Linked DNA regions of Danio rerio. The protein of the gene in region 4 interacts with the protein of the main gene of each other region in a pairwise test. Links are inferred from orthologs where the notes say so. Each region holds a gene or a part of one and is shown on either strand. Other genes may lie near its edges.

Region 1 (4,240 bases), on a different chromosome or scaffold from region 4:
TACACAGCTAATGATATTTAACTATTAATGATGATACATTTTCAAAAATTTCTCTTTTAAAACTGTTTTGGGTTTGATTCTGTTTCAACAGAAAATAACTGAGTCGTTCAAGATATATACACGGGCGTTATGTTCACATCCTTTTGCTCTGGAGTGCAAACATTTACATTTTTATTATTACATTGTTATTGGTATTAATTTAAATTTTAAGCGAGAATATCAGCGACATAAGCGCGTAATTCAGGCCGACCTGAAATACTTGATTCTGATTGGCCAATCTCAGTTTCCATTTAGCAGCGGTGTACATAAGCACGTTCAATCGAAACCGGAGGCACTTATTAAAGTAACACACCTGGCTGGCGCCATCTTGTGTCCGTTATTACAACGTTATATTTGCGAAATTCAGGTAAAGATAATTTAAACTCGATACAGTATGTCATTGAAGTGTAATGAGTATCATGTTTAAAGCCAACATAATTATGTCAGACAGTGGATTACTTGAGTAGCACAATAACGTACGTTGCGCAAGGTGATATAACGTTACAGTAGTCGACGATAACGGATATCAACGTTTTTGTGTGGCATAACAAATGTTTGCTTTTTGTCATCTTAAAATTATTAAAGGAACAAACAGAGTCAAACCTGAAACTTTTAACGTTACAGCTCCAAAATGTTTCTCCCTCTGAAATCCCTTATGAAAATTAACCATCGTTTTTATTAAAAGTGTAGTGTTTTTTTCCTGTGCGTATTTATCAATATTTCTATAAACAGTTTGACTAAAATGCCATGGTTAAACTGCTGAATTTGTTGTCACCATGTTTTTGTTTGTTTTAATTTGTGGTAAAAACCATTGTTGATTTTCATAAGGGATAAAACGGCACTTCGTTTCATGCACTTCTTAATAGTGGCTATATATCCACATGCCATTATAATGATGCTGGATTTGAATAGGTAAACGAGGACACATGCTGCAGGATATATAAATTGCCATGTTTCAGAGCACTTCAATTTAGTCAAAATTAAGAATGGATATAATTTTCCCATGTGACTAGTCAGAATAAATGGTATTCACTGATGGCATAAAAGTAAATCTAAACTAATAACACGTTGACATTTGTATAGACTGTGTCTGTACATTATGTTGTTGCCTACATCAGTACCTATATATTTTGATATTTTCAGAATGGAATAAATCTGTTATTGAGTGAAATGAGCTTTATCAGTTCAGCTGTCAGCTAAATTAATCTTTTTCTTGCACGGCTGTGTGCTTTGAAACCTTCTCTGGACTTTTCCTAGGCCAATGAGAGCCGAGTGGACGCCTTCCAGGAATCTGCAAACTCTTTTATAAACACATGTACCATTTTGGATGTGTGCATCATGCTTTGATGAGGCAGAACAGATGCTAGGATTATTCTTGGGAGTTCTCTGCTTTAATCTAAACAAAAGGTAAGACAAAACCCAGAAATGAAAGCAAGTCATTTGTTTTATTACGAAACACCCTAAAAAGCTTGAGTCGTATTTTAAGGAAAGACTCTACAATCACAGAATGCAAAGTTTACTTGATTTAAATTTAATTTATAATAAAGAACTCCTCAGTACAGCTATACATATTAAGGCCATGACGTGCAATCAACAACTCCACACAAAAGTCTAGACAAAATCACTTTGCATATATTATCACTGTAGTAAGGCACACAGCTGGTTTTCTTACAAAAAAAATGTATCATGCACAACTTCACAGTGTAAGTAAAGTTAAAAATCATACAGGCAATCATTAACAATATTAACAACAAGGTGATCTTTTGGCTTTGTAAATTCACAATACAGGACATACTACAGATATTGCATAAAGCACAATAAAAAAAAGATTATATTAAATTATAATAGTGTAATATCAGCACTAACTGCATATAACAGCTGCTGCTCAAACTCTTAAAATGCAAAAAAAAAAAAAAAAAAAAAATTTGGCCGAATAAAACGACAAACGAAAAATCTCTGAATGCAAATCACCAAAATGTAACAAGACTCCCTGAAGCTATTAAAAATAAAATTATTATAAAAACTGAAGACAGTAGTTTTTTAGTACAAAAAAAATCTTGTAAATTAAATGCAAAGTGGGGGAAAAAAAATCTTCATTCTCTACCATTCAACATTCAAACTGTCTTTGCCAGTAGAAACAGTATGATAAACATAAAATAATAAATAATGTAAAAACAATCTTTTGGTAACAACAGCTCTAAGCCGTGTATCTTCAATCCATTCTGATCAACATTGTCATGGTGCTATGATTAAAATGAGCACAAACCCTCTTCCTTAATTCTCTATTTGTAGTACAAAAGACTATAAGACAACAGGCACTCAAACCTTCTGATTCCTATATCTCTTTTTATGACACTGGAGGTTCACAAATGGCAGCACAATGGCAGTTTATGGACCAGCTTTAAAAATAAAGAGTACCTATGAATCAGGTTTTCCGCAAGCATGACATTTTAGAAATGTTTTCCATTGGTGGAAAAACAACAATTTTTGAAGTTACTAAAATAGCTTTGGTTAACGTAATTTTTTATATTTAAGTTTTAAAATATTTCACTGGCTACATATTGTACTTGCAATTAATTAAAAAAATCTCAATCTAGGGATCATGTACAACAGAAAAGTAATAGAAATGCATTGATCAAAAGGAGTGGGAACCCCATAAAATAAATATAAATAGAGAGCAGCAAATGCTCAGGACTTCTAACCTTAAGATATAAGATACAGTCCTTCAAAGTCTATATTCTACACTTACTTGCATCATTGAAAATGTCAATTCAACAACACATTGCTCATTCAATTTTCTTCAAACTCCACCAGGAACAGCTAAATTATTTTAAAATAAGGTTGATTTCAGTCATGCTTTATAGGAATGCATCCTTCCATCTCCAGAACTTCTGGCCATCCTTCATACTTGTTAGTCTCTGCATTGTTCTTGATGTGCTGGAAAAGTATGCGATGGCTTATTAAATATTTTTTACTCCAAATTTAAATCTAAAAAGAAGCCATAAGGTGATTTTACCTGCTCAAAGGGGCTCTTTGTCTTGATTCCTTTGCCTCCAACAAACACCCAGTTATCTCGGAAGCCTAATATGCTGATGCTTGAACTGCCCAAATCTGCTATCAAATTTCTGGCCTCGTCATTCATCCTGTTCAGAACAAATTAAAATTAAATGCATTTAATAAAAGATCCCAGACAGATCTGTAAAGATTTCACCAAAAAAAAAATTTACTTTGTTGCAGGGTCGTCAAATGTGGCCATCATGACAATGCTTCCATCTTCTATGTCCTTCAAGAATTTGATGAGAAGATTTACATCTAGAAAATACAAGATCATTTAAAAAGATTAACTGCATGTGACTTAATATTACATTTCACAGACTAGCAAATGGCTAGCCCTGGGTGATATGAAAAAAATCTAGTATCACTATACAAGCTATCATCTCATATGCCAGAAAGCATAAATGAGTACACCCCTCACAAAATTTAGTACACCCAAATTAATATGTTGGGTGAAAATATGAAATGAAAATTGTATAAACAGAAAAAACCAAGAGAAGCATACATTTTTTTTGTTTTTACATCTACTCAAAACTTTGTAGATTCATATAATTACCGGTCCAACATAAAAATATTGCTAAATAAAAAGTAAATGTACATTCAAGATTGCAGCTTTTTCATGATGCAACAAAATAAATGATAGAACATATAATAAAACCACAGACTTTTTTGATTTCATAAATAGTCTAACCTATTTACTAATACAGACTATATTAAAAGTATCTAAAAGTAATTATTCAAAAGGTGTTTTTCTCTATAAAACCATTATGACACTTAACATGTTTTAATGTATTAACATTGTGTTTTTAAAAACCAAACTCAGTAAATATTAGTTATACATAACGTAAATAAACATTAAGAATTTAAACCTAGGATCTCTAACTCCACCAATGTCCTGCATCTTGTCCCATTTTTAATTATCTGGGAGTAATTCATGTGCTACTAAGATGATGACAGCTAGCTCTGCCCACTTTGGCGGTTCAAAAATGCTCTTCACACACATCCATGTTTTTTTACAGCCTATAAGGTATAACAATGCATTTTCATTGATCCGAACACAGGTGGACTATTCCAAGTACATGTTATATTGGCTCTGACACATTTTGATCATGTCAAATTTTGACCACTACCACAGGTAGTCATAAAC
Region 2 (6,044 bases), on a different chromosome or scaffold from region 4:
TCACTGTATAACAGTAGTTTCTTCTGCAAACAATCAAAAATATATATTGCTTAAGAGGGCTAATAATATCGAACAAAATAGGTTTTAAAATATTTAAACCTGATTTTATTCTAGCTGAAATAAAACAAATAAGCCTTTCTCCAGAAGAAAAAATATCATAGGAAATACTGTAAAAAAATTCCTCTGTTAAACATAATTTGGGAATTATTTATTTATAAAAATAAATTCACAGAGGGGAGAACAATTTTGACATCAACTAATAATCGTTTTGAATAATCGTGATTACAATTATGACCAAAATAACCACAACCCACAATCGAACAGTCCTATATAAGACACAAAACTCTCTGGTCTGATGAGACTAACATTAAAACTCTTTGGAGTAAATGCCAGGCGTTACGTTTGGAGAAAACCAGGCACTGCTCATCACCAGGCTAATACCATCCCTACAGTGAAGCATGGTGGTGGCAGCATATTGCTGTTGGGATGTTTTTCAGCAGCAGGAACTGGAAGGCTAGTCAGAATAGAGGGAAAGATGAATGCAGCAATGTACAGAGACACCCTGAATAAAAACCTGCTTCAGAGTGCTCTTGACCTCAGACTGGGGTGACGGATCATCTTCCAGCAGGACAATGACCCAAAGCACACCTCCGAAATATCAATGGAGTGGCTTCACAACAACTCAGTAAATGTCCTTGAGTGGCCCAGCCAGAGCACAGACCTAAATCCTATTGAACAACCCTGGAGAGATCTAAAAATGGCTGTACACTGTCACTTCCCATCCAACCTGATAGAGCTTGAGAGGAACTGATAAGAGGAATGGGCAAACATTTGTGCAAGACAAGTGTGCAAAGCTTGTGGCATCCTATCAAAAAGACTTGAGGCTGTAATTGCTGCCAAAGGTGCATCAACAAAGTATTGAGCTAAGGCTGTGAATACTCCTGTACATGTGATTTTTCAGGTTTTTTATTTTTCATAAATTTGCAACAATTTCAAAAAGTCTTTTGTCACATTGTCATTATGGGGTATTGTGTGGAGAATTTTGAGGAAATAAATGAATTTAATCCATTTTGGAATAAGGCTGTAACATAAAAAAATGTAGAATAGCGCTATGAATACGTTCCGAATGAACTGTATATTGAATATGTTCCAACAATCAATGCATGCTTTATGCTCTCTAAAGATAATTTAAGTGGACAAACCATTTAGCTTGTCATGTATTTCCATGCAGACTTTATGTCAGGAGCTTCAGAATCATGTAGAAATAATTGTAAGTGGCCTGAAACTGTCAGTCAAACAGAATCGACTTTTATTTAGTACACTGGCAAGATGCTGTTTATTCTTTATTGACAAGCAGATTCAGCTTATACTGAACCATGCAGCTAAACAATTGTACTTTTTATGCTCTATTTGTAGAAGCAATAATATTTTAGTGATTCATTATTGCACAGCTGTGGTGCAGTTGTTAATATGGGAGTCATCAAAAATGTGATCCGTCTAACCCAGCTAGTTAGTTAAAAACGGTGGTGTGGTGACATCGCGTGGACACTCACGGTAGTAAAATAAACGAAGTCAACACAGGATTTTGAATTTAGTGTCAGTGCACTTCTTGTTTGAGAAGTCTCTTTTCTCGGCTTCCTACACTTTTTGCGTCAGCTAACAAGATCAAGCAATGTATCAGATGTATTTTACTTTAATCTTCATTAACAACGTTCACTTAAGTTACTTGCTCCACGGTGTCATTTCATCTGAGATGTTAGTGTCCGGTAGACTAAAGATAGATGTTCAACATGTTTGGAAAAAAACGGTAATGTCAGATAATTGCTAAGGCTAATCTTATAGCCAGCAGATGTACGATGTATCGTTTAACGTTCACAATAGACAATATTTCCACACTTGTTTTTTAATGTTTTGTCAAATCAAAATCTAAATATTTTGAAAACCCTTACCTGAATTTTAGTTTTCATCAGTGACATCTCATTCTCCACATTCATTTTTATGCTAACATGGTTGCTGTCTAGTCGATATATTTCGAAAAAACTTTATTTATGAAGTTAGCAAAATATTTCCAAATGGTTGACGATGATATAAACATTAAAATAGATTATTTTAGACGTTCGGAATTTTAGTAACATTTTGTTTGGCGTTTAATCGGAATATTTAATGGCTATTGTTGTTATTTTTATTCTTGTTTGTTGCTAGATCAGATACGGTTGCGGCTGGAAGATGAATATAATTATTTATATTGTTTATTAAATTTCCCATTGATTGTATTGCATTATTGCCTTCTATCACACTGGCATTATTTTGTTCTATTATCTTGTATCTGTCGTTTAAAGCATAACAAATGAATAACAATAATAAATACATGCCCTAATTAATATTCATACTGTTAGCCAATCCCTGATAAAAAAATATTTCTAAAAAAAAACTTCTTTCCTTCTGTTGCATAGCCAATCAGCGAGCCCCACCTTGTATACGTAATTAATATTAATAAGGCAAGCGCCTTACGTTTGTTTTGCGTCATGACGCCTGAGTAACCCGGAAACACACGCGGATGTTGTAGAACATATATTGCAGGCATTTAGATGAAAAAAGCGTCTGAATTCATGGCGTAGAAAAGGTATTTAATAATCCCAAATCAGCGGACAGTTTCTAAATTCCTTAGAAAAATGTTAAGAGTACGGTAGGTGTGTTTAAGAGTTTATCCACGCATTATAATTACGAATATTTGAGGCTTAAAGTCAAGTTCCATTTAAAAATCATTAATGTTTTTAAAGCGTTATTATTAAACCCATCATTTATGGGCGCAATACATACAGTATATGAGGTGTTGATAATTACAATGTGTCTTTTTTTCAGAAGTCAAGCTGACAGTCGCTCATGATGAGTCCAGAAGTGAGTTTATCCAACTGTCATGTGTCACGTGATGGTGTATGATCACTTTTTATAAAACATTACTTTTATTTAAAATATTTTGAAATTTTTAGCCGTTATATTTTCTTATATGTAATAATTTTGCTAATTTTGTGTTTTTGCAGATGAACCATTAATTTCACTGCACCAAAAGCTGTAGGAGGATGTTGATCTAGGATTTCTTCTGATTCCTCCACTCACCTTCAGACAGATTTGTGCCCATCATGTTTGTGACGGCATACCTAGCATTTATAGTCCTAGCAGGACTGTGTGTGGCTTTAGAGATCACAGCCCGGCGTCTCACCTTATCCCAGGCCACACAGACAGCAGTCGCCAATCCGGCTTTCCAGCGTTTCCAGAAGCTCTTTCTGAAGGCGTATCTCCTGGCTCTCTGGGCAGACTGGCTACAAGGGCCTTACCTTTACAAACTATACCGACATTACAACTTCTTGGAGTCACAGATTGCCATCCTATACGTCTGCGGTCTGGCTTCTTGTGTGCTGTTTGCCCCGGTGGCCGGATGGCTGCCACAGTTTCTCGGCCGAAGACAGACGTGCCTCCTCTTCTGCTTGGCTTATTCAGTGTGTTGCATCACCAAACTCTCACAAGACTATTTTATGCTCATTCTAGGACGTGTATTAGGCGGCCTGTCCACTTCTCTGCTAACAACCACCTTTGAGGCCTGGTATGTGCACGGTCACGTTGACATTCATGACTTCCCCAAAGAATGGATCCCTGTTACGTTTGGTAAAGTCGCCAATTGGAATTATGGACTTGCAGTTGGTGCTGGACTAGTGGCGAATTTGTTCGCAGAATGGCTTGGGTTGGGACCGGTCGCTCCATTTCTGTTGGCTATCCCGAGCCTTGCTGCTTGCGCCTGGTTTGTGCTTTCCGAATGGGGTCAGGAGGACAAACAAGAAGGCATGAATGGAGACAAAAACGCCCCCCTTCTTAACTCCCTAAACACCCCCAAGTTGCAATTGTCAGCACGTGCCCGTTTCTGGCGTAGCTGTGTGGATGGCCTTCGATGCCTGCTCTCGGACCGCCGTGTTATGCTTTTAGGAGGCGTTCAGGCACTTTTTGAAAGCGTGCTGTATATTTTTGTATTCCTGTGGACTCCTGTTTTGGATCCTCATGGCCCACCTTTAGGAATCGTATTCTCCAGTTTGATGGCGGCCACCATGGCGGGCTCCACACTTTTCCGATTGGCCACATCAGCCCCGTATCGACTCCAACCCGGTCATCTGCTCTGCCTAGCCATTCTTCTAGCGTTCTTCTCCTTCTTCATGCTGACGTTCTCCACCGTGCCTGGCCAGCCCCGGCCCAGGGAATCTCTGCTCGCTTTCCTTTTGCTGGAACTGGCTTGTGGGCTTTATTTCCCAGCGGTGAGTTTCCTCCAGGGTCGTGTGGTTCCCGTGGAGCGCAGAGCTGCAGTTTTGGCTTGGTTTCGTTTGCCTCTGCACCTCCTGGCCTGTCTGGGGCTGCTGGCGCTTCACGGGGAGGTTTCAGGGTCCGGTGCGGGAGAGGCTGGCAGCGGCACCAGGCACATGTTTGCAGGCTGTGCTGGGATGATGCTGGCTGCTCTGCTCGCCGTGATCAGCCTTTTCACTGTGGGCAGGAATGATGCCGACCTGAGATTAGAGGGCCCCAAACTGGAAGGAGAAATCTGAGTTGGACAGTGGATTATATATGGACTGTTGAAGTGAATCTATTCAATAGGATAGATCAGTGTTTCCCAACCCTGTTCCTGAAGGCACACCAAGACATTTTCAACCTCTTCCTATTCAAACACACCTGAATCAACTCATCAGAACATTAGAAGAAAACCTGAAATGAATGGGTCAGATAAGGCAGACAGCCAAAATATGAACTGTTGGGTTGCTTCCAGGAACAGGGTTGGGAAACACTGGGATAGACCTTTGAGATGAAACATCTCATTTTCAACGGCGTCCCTATGAAGTACATAAAAGAAAAAAGAAAAAAAGGAGTACAATACATCAAAACAAACAGAGATTGTGGAATGTGGTTTTATATACTTTGTTTCTTTCCTCATGCATTCTGTCTTGGTTAAACAATTGTATTTATGGGTAAATGCGAATGTTAATAGAACCAATAAACTCAAAATCGGATGTATTTCTAAAATGTGTTTAGGAATTAAATTGGGGCGCGATATGTTCAACAAGTCAGTGAGCCGGTGAGGGATCACAAACACACATCATGAAATACGTAGGGTTTTTTTTTTAATCCATACGGCATGCGGTATAAAATTCCATTAAAACTACACTCTTCCAGCAGTTCATACTCTCATCCAATATCTTGTTTTGACTTGGGGGGCATGCATGAAATGCTCCTGAATGAAAGTAAAAAAGTGGCAAACTGCAGTTAAAGTCGACAAATTAAAAATAAAACACTTGAGATTACATGAAACTCCAGAGGAAATGTTGGATAGTGAAGCAATGACATAAATCAAACTGTGCTATAACATGTAAAACAGAATCATGAAAGGAACATTCAAAACACAACTCATGTAAACACCTTAATCATTGTATTATCCTAGTTAGATTAAGACAAATAATTTGATTACTGATGCCCATGTAAACATTTATTTTAACACCAAGCCGATACCCTGGAGTAGATTCCCTATACAGTATGTATTGAACTGTGGCTACTGTTTGAGCTACAATTAAAGCACAGTGTGATTATTAAAACAATAGGCTATGCATTAGTAATAAATGCAATAAGACAGTTTTTTCATCCATCTCATGCTGCACACAGACCATACGGACAGGTTAAGGTAAGCATTTTCATTTATTGAAATAGATGGCAACTGAACAAATTAAGGCTCATGAACAAACATCTTAGAAAGCACTGTAAATAAATGCATATTTGAAAAATATAAAAATAAAAATTACAAAATAAATCTGTTGTGAAGTCTAATGACCACAGACATCAGTGTAACATTTCTCAATGTGTTCAGTTCATTTCCAGTCATTCCATTTTAGAGTAGGGGGTCTCCACTTATCACAGCTCGTAACAAACATTCCCAATGAGTGGATTTCTATATGGAATTTGAGAGAGAGAGGCCTTCGGATGTCAATCTCTTATGCTATAAAATACATTTTTGTTAT
Region 3 (6,100 bases), on a different chromosome or scaffold from region 4:
GATATTTGTCTCTTGAATGTGTGATGAAAAAGTTGCTTTAATCATTGAATGGAGAAAGCTTATGTCATTGCGAATTGAAACAGTCACCGACATTCTTCAAAATATATTATTTTGTGTTGCAGAGAAGAATTATCCTAACTAAACAATGACTGAATTTTCATTTTTAATTGTGATTATCTTTATATTTTTACCATGACAATGTACCTGAAAGATGAATGCTTTTTTGAAAAGCTTTGACTCTCTATAGTCAAAAGATTCCCTGTCAACACAAAATCGTAATGAGCATTGCAGGCCACTAGTTTATGATGTCACTCCTAAAAGAAACACTACGGGTGCATCTGAAGTTGCACACTTCCCTACTATATAGTATGTGAAAAACAGCATGTGAGCCAACATAGTGTGTCCAAATTCATAGTATTTAAAAAAACAGTACTCAAGAAGTATTGATAAATTGTGGATGTAGTACATCTGAATTCCACTGTTCTCGCATTTATACTATATATAACATACTTTTTGAACAGTCGTGAACATTTGTGATTTCGGACAGCTTTTTATAGTACATGTGCAAGATTGAACACGTAGTACACACCCACATGATGTCAGCATATTCACAAAATCACTAGTAGTTTGCAGCGATGAAATAAAGTGCACTTTGAACACACATTTTTTGCATTTTCAGGCTTCCAAAATACCATTGTCATGTTAAAAACTGCATAATATTCCCTCCTTTTTTGAGTCTGATAAGATCTCATTAGTACTATATGTGGAGAAACAGGTTCCTGGTTTAACTTTTAAAAAGTTGCTCCATATTTTAACTTGAAATACACTGAAAAAATGGACTTTTGTTGCTAGTTCAAAGTACTTTTTTAAGATAAAATAAGTTGAAACAACACCATTCTTAGCCAAAATCAAACAAAAAGTGCTCAGGGGTAGCTTAATTATTGTGTTGGTGCTCTTTGAATAAGGGATTCACCAAGATAAACAGCAAAAGTAAGTTCAAGGCACTCGAAAAATGTGGACAAAGTATTAAAGAGCCTATATTGACATGGCTATTCCTTAAAACTGCGCCTACACCTTTCAGCAAACACTTGCCACTCTGATGATGGCAGGAGTTTGCTGAAACACATAGGTACAGTTTTAAAGAATAGACATGATAATCAAGGCTCTTTAATACTTTGTCCACATTTTTTCGAGTGCCTTGGGATTGTTTTTGCTGTTAACACAATTCTTATGTTTGTTTTAGGACACTGATTTGTTTATTGTTCAATCCACATACAATCCACATATATATAAAAATTAATTAATTTGTGTTGGGACAACATGAAGTAATTGTGTGGAATGCAGCATTTTATAATACAATTTCAGAGTCTCAGAATAATGTCTCACCAGTTGAATTTTGTGTGCACCGAAGAAGATGGGGGTCCAGGCCCAGTTAAGTGCCAACTGCAGCCCATAAAGCCCCAATGGCACCATTGCATCCTGGGTGAAGCCTCCAAGCTCTTTCCACACAAGGTATGAGCCGTACCTTTAAAAAAAGATGGAAAACTGTTTACTTAATCTGCAGTAACTAGTCAGTTATTAACTTATCTACAACTTCCTTTAAAGTTTCTAAAGTGTAGCATGCAGAGTGAATGCCTACTGTTTGAACGTACCCCATGCCAGTGTAAAGGGTGGTCCACACCACTGGGAAGGCAGCATTCGGTGGTCTCCATGAGGGTTTATTGAGCGTGGAGTACCAGGTCTTAACCTCCCGCCGTGTGATTATACCTCCAAATATCCCACCAACGTGAGGGAGGGCAGTCAGGCTCAGCATAGGAATCCACATCCTTTCAATACAAACAGGTAAATTAAGGATTCTGAGCAACTGCCTGTGTATGTATATTATATACAGTTGAAGTCCCCCTATTTATTTTTTTCCCTAATTTCTGTTTAACAGAGATTTTTTCAACAAATTTCTAAACATATTAGTTTTGATAACTCATATCTAATAACTGATTTATTTTATTTTTGCCATGATGAGAGTACATAATATTTTGCTTGATATTTTTCAACCCACTTCTATACAGCTTAAAGGGACATTGGAAGGCTTAACTAGGTTAATTAGGTTAACTAGGCAGGTTAGGGTAATTAGGCAAGTTATTGTATAATGATGGTCTGTTCTTTACACTATCGAAAACAAAGTAGCTTAAAGGGGGCTAATTTGACCTTTAAATGGGTTTTAAAAAATTAAAAAACTGCCTTTATTCTAGCCGAAATAAAATAAATAAGACTTTCTCCAGAAGAAAAAATATTATCAGACATACTGTGAAAATTTCCTTGCTCTTTTAAACATAATTTGAGAAATATTTAAAAAAGAAAAGAAAATTCAATAAGGAGCTAATAATTCTGACTTCAACTGTAACTGGTTTGGAATGGTTGCTCTGCACCTCCTTCTCCATGTAACTTTTAAGTCTGACAGCTTATCTACCCAGCAAGGAGGCCAACAGTAGCTGAGGGTTCATTTCATTTGCAGCACAATAATAAGTACAACTCACTTCTACTTATTAACAATAAATGCGATCATACACTCAAAAAATATATATTTTTGCTCGTTCAAACTACTTAATTATAATAAGCTAAAACAACACTATTTCATTGGGACAACTTAATTTATTTATGTTCAATCCAAATAAATTTTTTAAATGTGTTAATTTAACTTAATTTGTGCTGGGACAATATGAAATAATTGTGTGTAACCCTGCATTTTTTTACAGTGTACATTAATTGGGAGATTCTATTGCAGATTATTTCCGAGGACATTTTTATTTAGTTTGACCTAAATCTATAATAACCAAAACTAAAATTAAAACTGAAATCAATCAATAAATAAATGAACATAATTAAACAAAAAACAGCCATTATAAATATTGCCTCATTAAAATAATAAAAAATAACAAAAAAGACAACAACCCTAAAATGGCACAAAAAACTGAAAATTAAAAACAATAAAATTGTCTTTTTTAAAATAATATTTAAAATAAATAAAAATAGATTAATATTTGTAATTAAAATAATAAAAACCGTGATGAACAAAAAGTCCAATATAAATGAACTACAAAACAATGAACTTAAAATAAAACAATCATTTAAAATAGAAATACAAATAGCACAAAAACTACCAAACTACTGCTCACAATCCAATTCGAAATGCTTTATCTTAAATTATCTTGAATGAACTTTTAGCAAACATGAAAAACTTTTGGTTGACAGCCAGTTCAGTTTGTCCCTCAAGTGGGAGCGATTCTGCGCATGGACCCAAAACGTGTAAATGTAAACGAAACCTGAGTACATGTGTAGAGCTTGACGAGAAATGTTACATATAACCCAATACAGACATTTTATATTTCGTGCAAGGGATATTAAACTGCATGAATTGGTCGCAAATGTTAGTCACGCGCTTATCGTTACATTACTTAACGCGCGCGACAGACAGCTGGTGGCGTTTTGTTTACAAATACTACGCCTGGCCAGTCAGATAATTCAAATTAATCGATTTTTTCACAGCGTAATCTTTTTTACCTCAACTGGAGAGTCGTGAAGCTGCTCGATGTGAAGAAGAGACCGGTTTGGACAGCCTTCTATGACCGGAGTGATCTTGAAATCCTGATATAAGTTTGTGTAACAGCCAGTGGGCGTGTAGCTCTGTGCTGCTGTAGAAACAATGCTCGGACTCTCTGGCCAATAAGGAGAGGAGCGTAAACATCTGCCGCTTCCTCGTGTTGTGAAACGATCACTCAGCATAGTACTGTACTGTACTGTACTGTAGTAATTTGTGTTCAAGACGATCAGCGCGGCGCAGCGATGGATCAGGTGATATTTTTCACCACTATAAATGAGCTGAGATATGTGTCAGATGTAACAGCAGGCAATAAAGAGCTGCCAACATGATCACAACCAGAACACTAAAGATATAAATGTTTGTTAACATTTCTTTTGGGTTATGCATGAAGGATTTTTGTATCTTTTACAGTTAGATAATGAGCATAAGGAAACGTACACTATGCACAATATGAAGCACACTATGAAGATGACTCCCTCTGTAGGCTAACATTCAACTGACAGCTTCTGTAGAAAAACCCTGTATTTATTTCAGGTATCATATAATGTACAGACTGTCCCCAACTAGTGCAATAAGAGTAAAATATTAGTGACATGTTATTCAGTGAGGGAAGAGAACGTTTTTGTTCAGCAGTATCAAAATAATAAGTGTTTAATGAATAAAATTGGCTAAAATTAGGATAGTGGCAAATAATGAAGATATAAAATGGGGCTGCAATCTGCACTTATTATTAATTAATTTTGATTATTCTTTGAAATATGTCAGACAATATTTTTAAACTATGGAAACTACTTATAATGAATGACATTTTAGTGATTGTGTAAAGATGTAAGCATTATTTTGTTCATAAATTAAGTAGTAAACAAAAATAAACCTTTTGGGGAAAAGCTGTATTACATTAATTATTTTTTTTATCCTTTTTTATATTTTACTACTTTATATTTTACATTACATTTTCATTTTATTCATACTTTTTACATTTTAGATTGCAATGTATTTATGAATTGAAATATTCAGTGAATAATTGTTTTAAGATGATACAGCATTTGGAATCAAACTATAGCTGAAACTGTCAATTAAAGGGGACCTATTGTGCTTCTTTTTACAAAATGGAAAATATATGCATAATTTAATAATTAAAATAATAATAAATAAAATAATTCTAAAATAAGTTTTTTTTTTTAACTTTTAGAAACTGCCCCCTATAGACTTTGAACCAAATTTGGTCATTTTGGTGACTGTTGCTTTAAATTCAAAAGAGATTGGGCTCTTTTCAAAAGGATGTGGAGCTTAATGCATGTGTGTCAACATACTGTAGTGGCAGATTCACAATGTATTACCTGAATCATAGGAGAAGAGTATTTCCTGCTTAAGATTTTTTGATAACACTTAGTAACACTTATTTCTTAAGTTTATTACATTTTCATTTGTTTCTTAGCATTACATGATATGTTTAAATGTTATTTTAAGACTTTCTATGTGTAAAAACATAATGTTTTTATGTTTTTTTTTAAGGACGCATCATGACCCCAAATGTCTTACTGGCACCTCCATGACCAGCTTCATTTTCACGTCGTCCCTCCCAGAATTACTCTATACAGTGGCCTCTACCAGCCAAAGCTCCAGCCTTCCATGGTCTGAAGCGACTGAGACCCCATGTGGTGTTATTACACCTAAAAGTATTCTCTTTACATAAATGTTGAAGATTGGGATTTTTTTTGTTTAGATCTGGGACCCTCTAAATCTAAAAAAAAAACTGGCCCACTGAAACTAGTATAGGTGTTTAACACCTTCATCAAGGAGATGGAGAAGAGCCTTGACATTAATGTTGATGTGCCAAACAGTGTCAATAACATGCAGACTTTATGATGCAAGCTGAGATTGCATCAGTCAATGGAGCTAGTGACGTCACTGTGAGGGGTGGTTATAAGGTGAGCCCATTAAAAAGCACTTCCTGCACCTCACATTGCATCTGCACTAGGTCTGCATCCAGACCCCTCTTCAATAGAAACTTTTGTCTTCTGCAGGAGCTCAAAAAGTGATAGAGGGAAATTGCTGCTGAAAGCTCTGCTATGCCTGATTTTTTTTTTTAAACTCTATGACTCGCTACATGCAATGCCTCGCCAGGACTACAGAGTTTAAGAAAAAAGTAGGAAAAGTATTCCTTACTTTCCATGGTCAAGTTGAGTCTCAGAAGGGATGCTGTATATCTACTACTCAGATTATGTTCACTGACAGCTTCCAAAAATACTAATCGCGCCTAGTATTGTTGCTGAATAAGTCCGCTTCTTGATGAAAACATTGTACCAATCTTGGCGTCTTCCTTCAGATTAATGTAAGTTGAATCATTCATTCATTTTCTGCCGCTTTTCCAGGGCCAGGTCGCGGGGGCAGTAGTCTTAGGAGAGAACCCCAGACTTCCCTCTCCCCAGATACTTCCTTCAGCTCCTCCGGGGGGATCCCGAGGCGTTCTCAGGCTAGCCGGGAGACATAGTCTCTCCA
Region 4 (5,540 bases):
CTTTGAGAACCACTGCTGTAGACTATCGAAAAAAATATAGCTTAATGGGGCTAATAATATTGACCTTAAAATAGTTTTTTAAAAAATTCATAACTGCTTTTATTCTAGCCGAAATAAAACAAATAAGACTTTTCTCAGAATAAAAAATATTATCAGACATACTGTGAAAATTTTCTTGCTCGGTAAATATCATTTGAGAAATATTTAAAAAAGAAAACAAAAATTTAAGAGAGGTTTGATAAATCTGAATACTCAAAACCGTCTACTCAAACATTTAGGAGAATTACTGTTCACAGAGACACAAAGAAATGTTTTTTCCTTAATGTATTTCCTCAAAGTGTTTTAGTAAACCTTAAACATTTGAAATTTACAATCGCATAGTTTCATAATGATAAATTTCATGTTTATTTTACAGTGTGGAAATGCACAGACAATTGCTGTCTGCCAGGGGGATGACCAACGATGAGGACTTCAGCATTGTCTTGGAGGATGAGCAAGTCATGGCTGGCTTGTAAAATCTAGATTTGCTGAACTGGATTTATACTAATATTACGCAAATTAAAATGACCCAAAAACAAACTTACATTAAGTTTCTGACAAAAATTCCCTACTACAACCTTGTGGAGAAATTTCACTGCATTGACTGATTGATTGATTATGTTGCTAACATTTTGAGATACAGCAATACACAATTTCTGTCAGATTTTGTCTAAGATGTGACTTTTCCTACAAAGGAAAAGCCAGACAAAACATTTTTTTCCATCATATGGATAAAGAACTTTTTTCAAAGCTTAACATTGCTGTTATCAGTGGAACATGTAATAAAACGATATTTGGCAAAACTGCATTTTGTAAGTATCTCATTATAAAATATATATTTGACAATTTATGAATAAGTAATTTTCATTAATAAATATGAGTAAGTGGTGATTGATTTGCTTATATTACAAATTCTACTAATAATATTAAAATCATCATCTATCACTCAAAAATGTAGTAATTTTCACATGATTTAAGTATTTTTTGCTAAAAGAAAATCAAGTCTTGATACTACTTAAAAATAACACGGGCAATAGTGTTACCATTATATTTTAAAGTAAATAGCACATAAGATTTCTTACAGTGGAACTTAAGACTGCTTTTGTGGTCCAGGGTCACATATGAAAGTCAGCAAGCTTCAGAAAACACCCAATCTTTCATTCTACAGATAAAACAAATCTAAAACATAACTAAGCATAATTTTATGTTCCAAAAAAGAAGAAAAATTCCTCCAGATTTTTCGTTTTTCATTTTAAATGAACTACCCCTTAAGAGCTTTCGCCTCCAATGAGCTACAGTTAATCCACAAAAAAAGTGCTGACTTTGATAACACCCAATCCCCCACGGTGCCCTCTCTTCTGTCTCTCTAAACAGTAGGAACAGACAGCAGCCTGTCGACAGCGCCAATACTCTAAGCAGGCCACCCAGGAGAGAATGAAAAGGTGCTGCTCTATATGATCGGAAGGGGAGGTTAAGACCTGCACGCATCTGGATCAACTTAACAACACCTGCTGACTGCAAAGACCCGCACACTTACCGCAAATACAGCCACACTTAAATGTATTAAAATCCACCTATAAAGTATTCGCCGTGATTAAACACGAGCACACATGTGCTTCCTCACCTGTTGGCATTTTCAAGCGTCTCAACTTTCTTCCAGAGTTCATTGTTCTCTGAAGTGTAGTTCTCCACTCTGAAGAGGAGTAAAAGAGAAAGAGTGTGTTATTGCGCACGGTCACATTGAGATGCATTTACAAAAACGTTTCCATAAGTATGACCACATATAAGCAAGAAAAGCCAGTGTGTGAGTGTGTCCAGTGTGAGTCCAGTCTCTCCAGCACATTATCCAAACCCTGAGAGCCTAACAGCAGCACAAAAGGGAAAATGACTCATGCAAACGCGCGCAAACACACACACACATACACCAATGAGTGCATGGACTGTAGCCATTGGCCATATTCACACAATAAAAGCCATAAAACAGCTAGAAGGGTATAGCGCATTTTGAGGGTATGCTGGGGTGAGAATGACGAGAGGATTAAAGGAGAGGAGGTCATCGAAGAGAACGAAGGATGAAGGCACAGAGAGAGTGGATGCTGTTGGATAAACAAAGCAAAAGAGAGGAAGGGAAAATAAGAGCAGAGGAGAAAAGGACAGCAGTCAGAATGCAGGAGAGAGAGAGAAAAGAGGTAGAGAACAAAGCATTTAAGAGAGAGAGAGAGATAATAGAGTGGAATTACTTCTTCTCCAAACACTCCACATATTCCTTCTTCTTCCTGCGGCTTTCCTGTGCAGAGATCTAAGAAAAGAATGTAAAAAATATTATAATGAGCGTAAATATATTATTCATATATTAATACAGTGGCTAGAGTAAGTATTGAACAGCTCATGATTTTACTTGGTATACAGTGCTCAGCATAAATGAAAATAAATATACTTTTATGCAGTTCTCAGTGAATGTAGACAATATATTTTAAGGAATTAATAGCAGTTTCATCAAACAGTTATATCAATTAAAATAAGAGTTGGTAACTGAATATCCTTAGGAATAGAAAGTTAATAAATTTAAAATCAAATTAGTGGGAAAAAAATGCTATATAATAATTTAATTGTATATTATTCTGTATATTATTTACAGTGCTTAGCATAAATGAATACACTCCATTTTGAAAATGAATATTTTTATCCATTTATCTGTGAATATGGGTAATATTGGTGCATTTAAACAAAACAGATTTATTAAACAGATACATTTGTTAAAATAATACTTTAGTCACCAAACATCTTTAAAAATGGAATGATGATACAATAAATTCATGCAAAATATAAAAAAAAAATTACAAACTAACAACATTTTAACAAAATTGCATACATTTTTTGTTTATCTTGATTTGTTTCTGTTTTTGAAAATTCATTCATTCATTAATTTTCTTTTCAGCTTTTTTTTAGCCTTTATTAATCCGGGGTCGCCACAACGGAATGAACCGCCAACTTATCCAGCAAGTTTTTACACAGCGGATGCCCGTTCAGCCGTAACCCATCCCTGAATAACCAAGATTTGGCTTCAGTACTGACTAATCTAATGTATTTGCATAAATATAATATTGTACAGCTTCCTAGAAAATATAAATATGTACTTATATATGCTAAGCACTGTATATATATTTCTAACATATTAATTTGGGTGTACCAATATTTTGACTAATCTTAAGTTTTTTTGTTAGAATTGTTCAAGTTTCAGAAAAATATTTTAGAAAAAAATTGATTCATAAGAGAGATCTGTGAGGGGTGTACTTGTTTATGCTCACTGTTTATATTTCTAAAGGAGCTGTTCACATGAAATTGACCCAGATTTTGGTTTAAAAAATGTTAAAAACACCCAAACATACAAGTAATGCAAAAAAAAATCTTTAAAAAGTGTTATGTGTAAAAACATGGAATGGCAAAAGGAGAAAGTAATGAACTACTGAAATATATTGAATATTTTGCATAAAAGGCTTTTTTGTTAGTGGTAGCTTTGGAGAATTTTGCATTCTTCAGGTGTGATTTTCACACTTCAATAGACTTTCTACTAACTACTGAGAGAATTCATCTGCTATCTGGGCTTTCCATTCCTTTTTCCACCTCTATTTCTTCATGTGTTCAATATTTTATATACAATTATATGTATATATTAACCAAATAAAATTTCATATTAACATCAAAAGTACTGTAGGATTTTTTTCTTTGATCCATAAATTATTTCCATATACAGGAAATTTTCACAGTATGTCTGATAATATTTTTTCTTCTGGAGAAATTCTTATTTGTTTTATTTCGGCTAAAATAAAAGCAGTTTTAATTTTTTAAATCCATTTTAATTACTAGCCCCATTAAGCAAATTTTTTTCGATAGTCTACAGAACAAACCATCGTTATATATAACTTGCCTAATTACTCTAACCTGTCTAGTTCACCTAATTAACCTAGTTAGGCCTTTAAATGTCACTTTAAGCTGTATAGAATTGTCTTAAAAAATATTTAGTCAAATATTATTTACTGTCATCATGGCAAAGATAAAATCAATCAGTTATTAGATAAGAGTTATTAAAACTATTACGTTTAGAAATGTGCTGAAAAAATCTTCTCTCCGCTAAACAGAAATTGGAGAAAAAAATAAACAGGGGGGCTAATAATTCTGACTTCAACTGTATATGCACAAAACTTATATAATAAGAGACTTGTTTTAATAACCAAGTTATTTCAATATTAATAGTATGTAATCATTATCAATACCTTATTTTTGATTTTCCTGCGCACCCGTTTGAGTGCTTTCTCTTCGGTTTTGGTGAGCGGTAGTTTGTTGGGGACAGGATATCCCTCAGCGATCAAAGTCCTCTTTTCTTCCTCTGTCAGCATCAAAGGGCCTGATGTTCCCTGCAGCTTCTGCATTTCAACACAAGACAGAGTTTCACTTTAAATAGAACTGCTTAAGACGTAACTGTATGCAAATTTCCATTAGGAATATATGTGTATATAGTGTGGTGTGTCATGTGCCGCATTGATTAGCACTCACGTGCGGGGCGGTGAGGAGAGGGGATGAGGAGATAGCAGTGGAGGTCCGGGCCTGTAGCCGGGCAGGGCTGGAGGGTGGCAGTGAATGTGGGCTCTGCAGGTGGCCAGGGCTTAATGGTGGCAGTGAATGTGGGCTCTGGGATCCATCACTGTCGCTGCCATGGCTGCTGGGAGGAGTTGGCGGCAACCGCAAATGCTCTTCTGTTGGGACACACAGATAATCTTGATACAGCTGAAAGTACAAAACCTGAGCATCTTAAAGAGATAGTTTCTCAAAAATTAAAATTCCATCATCATTTACCTAATCTTGACATGTTTCAAATCACTAAACAAAAAAGAAGATATTTTGAAAAATGTTGGAAATCTTTAACCTTTCACTTCCACAAAAGAAATTAAATTACTATGGCGGTCAATGGTTACAGATTTCCAACATTCTTTAAAATATCTTATTTTCTGTTCAACAGAACACCATAAACTCTGATTTGGTCAATCAAGGGTGAGTAAATGAAGACCACCCCTTTAAATAATCAGGTTTAATTTTCTATGCCTACACATACAATGGCAAACTCAAACAAAATAGTCAAAGTTAAAAAGGGCAATGAATCTTTTGAGGCTGAAGTGTAAAACTGAAACTCCATTCACCTGTCACCAGGATAAAAGCCAATGAAACCTAATCTACTGGGTAGCTTTTGGTCATTTCGCACACAGCACATGCATGCTTTTAAATGTGGTGAGTGTTGGACTCGCTGTGTGTTTGGTCTGGCGGTGTCCCAGCATACACACAGCATTGCAATAAAGCTGTTGTTTCTGGATGAGCAGGATGAAAGAATGCTGCAGTGACAGACAGACAGCACACACACAACACCTGCAGGTGTTACAGGTTGCTTGCCATTAGCAGATTTATCATATTAAATGATGTACAGAACAGTCCAGGAGCAATCACACTAG

Evidence for each region.
Region 1: the proteins of creb3l1 (region 4) and fam3c interact in binary tests that used the Homo sapiens proteins (3 or more experiments, as listed by UniProt). The two-hybrid records come from large-scale screens. The link is inferred for Danio rerio from reciprocal best matches to the Homo sapiens genes CREB3L1 and FAM3C.
Region 2: the proteins of creb3l1 (region 4) and mfsd5 interact in binary tests that used the Homo sapiens proteins (3 or more experiments, as listed by UniProt). The two-hybrid records come from large-scale screens. The link is inferred for Danio rerio from reciprocal best matches to the Homo sapiens genes CREB3L1 and SLC61A1.
Region 3: the proteins of creb3l1 (region 4) and tspo interact in binary tests that used the Homo sapiens proteins (3 or more experiments, as listed by UniProt). The two-hybrid records come from large-scale screens. The link is inferred for Danio rerio from reciprocal best matches to the Homo sapiens genes CREB3L1 and TSPO.

The regions. Positions count from the first base shown.
Region 1 is NC_133179.1:20,694,990-20,699,229, forward strand, and holds the end of fam3c (protein FAM3C precursor), read right to left. Parts: intron 3,352-4,240; coding exon 3,267-3,351; intron 3,183-3,266; coding exon 3,056-3,182; intron 2,977-3,055; coding exon 2,887-2,976; 3' UTR 1,466-2,886; downstream 1-1,465. UniProt on the Homo sapiens protein: May be involved in retinal laminar formation. Promotes epithelial to mesenchymal transition.
Region 2 is NC_133198.1:38,887,656-38,893,699, reverse strand, and holds mfsd5 (molybdate-anion transporter), read left to right. Parts: upstream 1-2,565; 5' UTR 2,566-2,623; exon of another isoform or gene 2,624-2,686; intron 2,687-2,862; 5' UTR 2,863-2,934; intron 2,935-3,041; 5' UTR 3,042-3,140; coding exon 3,141-4,586; 3' UTR 4,587-5,836; downstream 5,837-6,044. UniProt on the Homo sapiens protein: Mediates high-affinity intracellular uptake of the rare oligo-element molybdenum.
Region 3 is NC_133181.1:43,135,349-43,141,448, forward strand, and holds the start of tspo (translocator protein), read right to left. Parts: upstream 3,697-6,100; 5' UTR 3,559-3,696; exon of another isoform or gene 3,058-3,558; intron 1,827-3,057; 5' UTR 1,826-1,826; coding exon 1,653-1,825; intron 1,526-1,652; coding exon 1,387-1,525; intron 1-1,386. UniProt on the Homo sapiens protein: Can bind protoporphyrin IX and may play a role in the transport of porphyrins and heme. Promotes the transport of cholesterol across mitochondrial membranes and may play a role in lipid metabolism, but its precise physiological role is controversial.
Region 4 is NC_133182.1:39,151,128-39,156,667, reverse strand, and holds part of creb3l1 (cyclic AMP-responsive element-binding protein 3-like protein 1), read right to left. Parts: intron 4,794-5,540; coding exon 4,685-4,793; coding exon of another isoform or gene 4,616-4,684; coding exon 4,594-4,615; intron 4,464-4,593; coding exon 4,314-4,463; intron 2,339-4,313; coding exon 2,280-2,338; intron 1,733-2,279; coding exon 1,664-1,732; intron 1-1,663.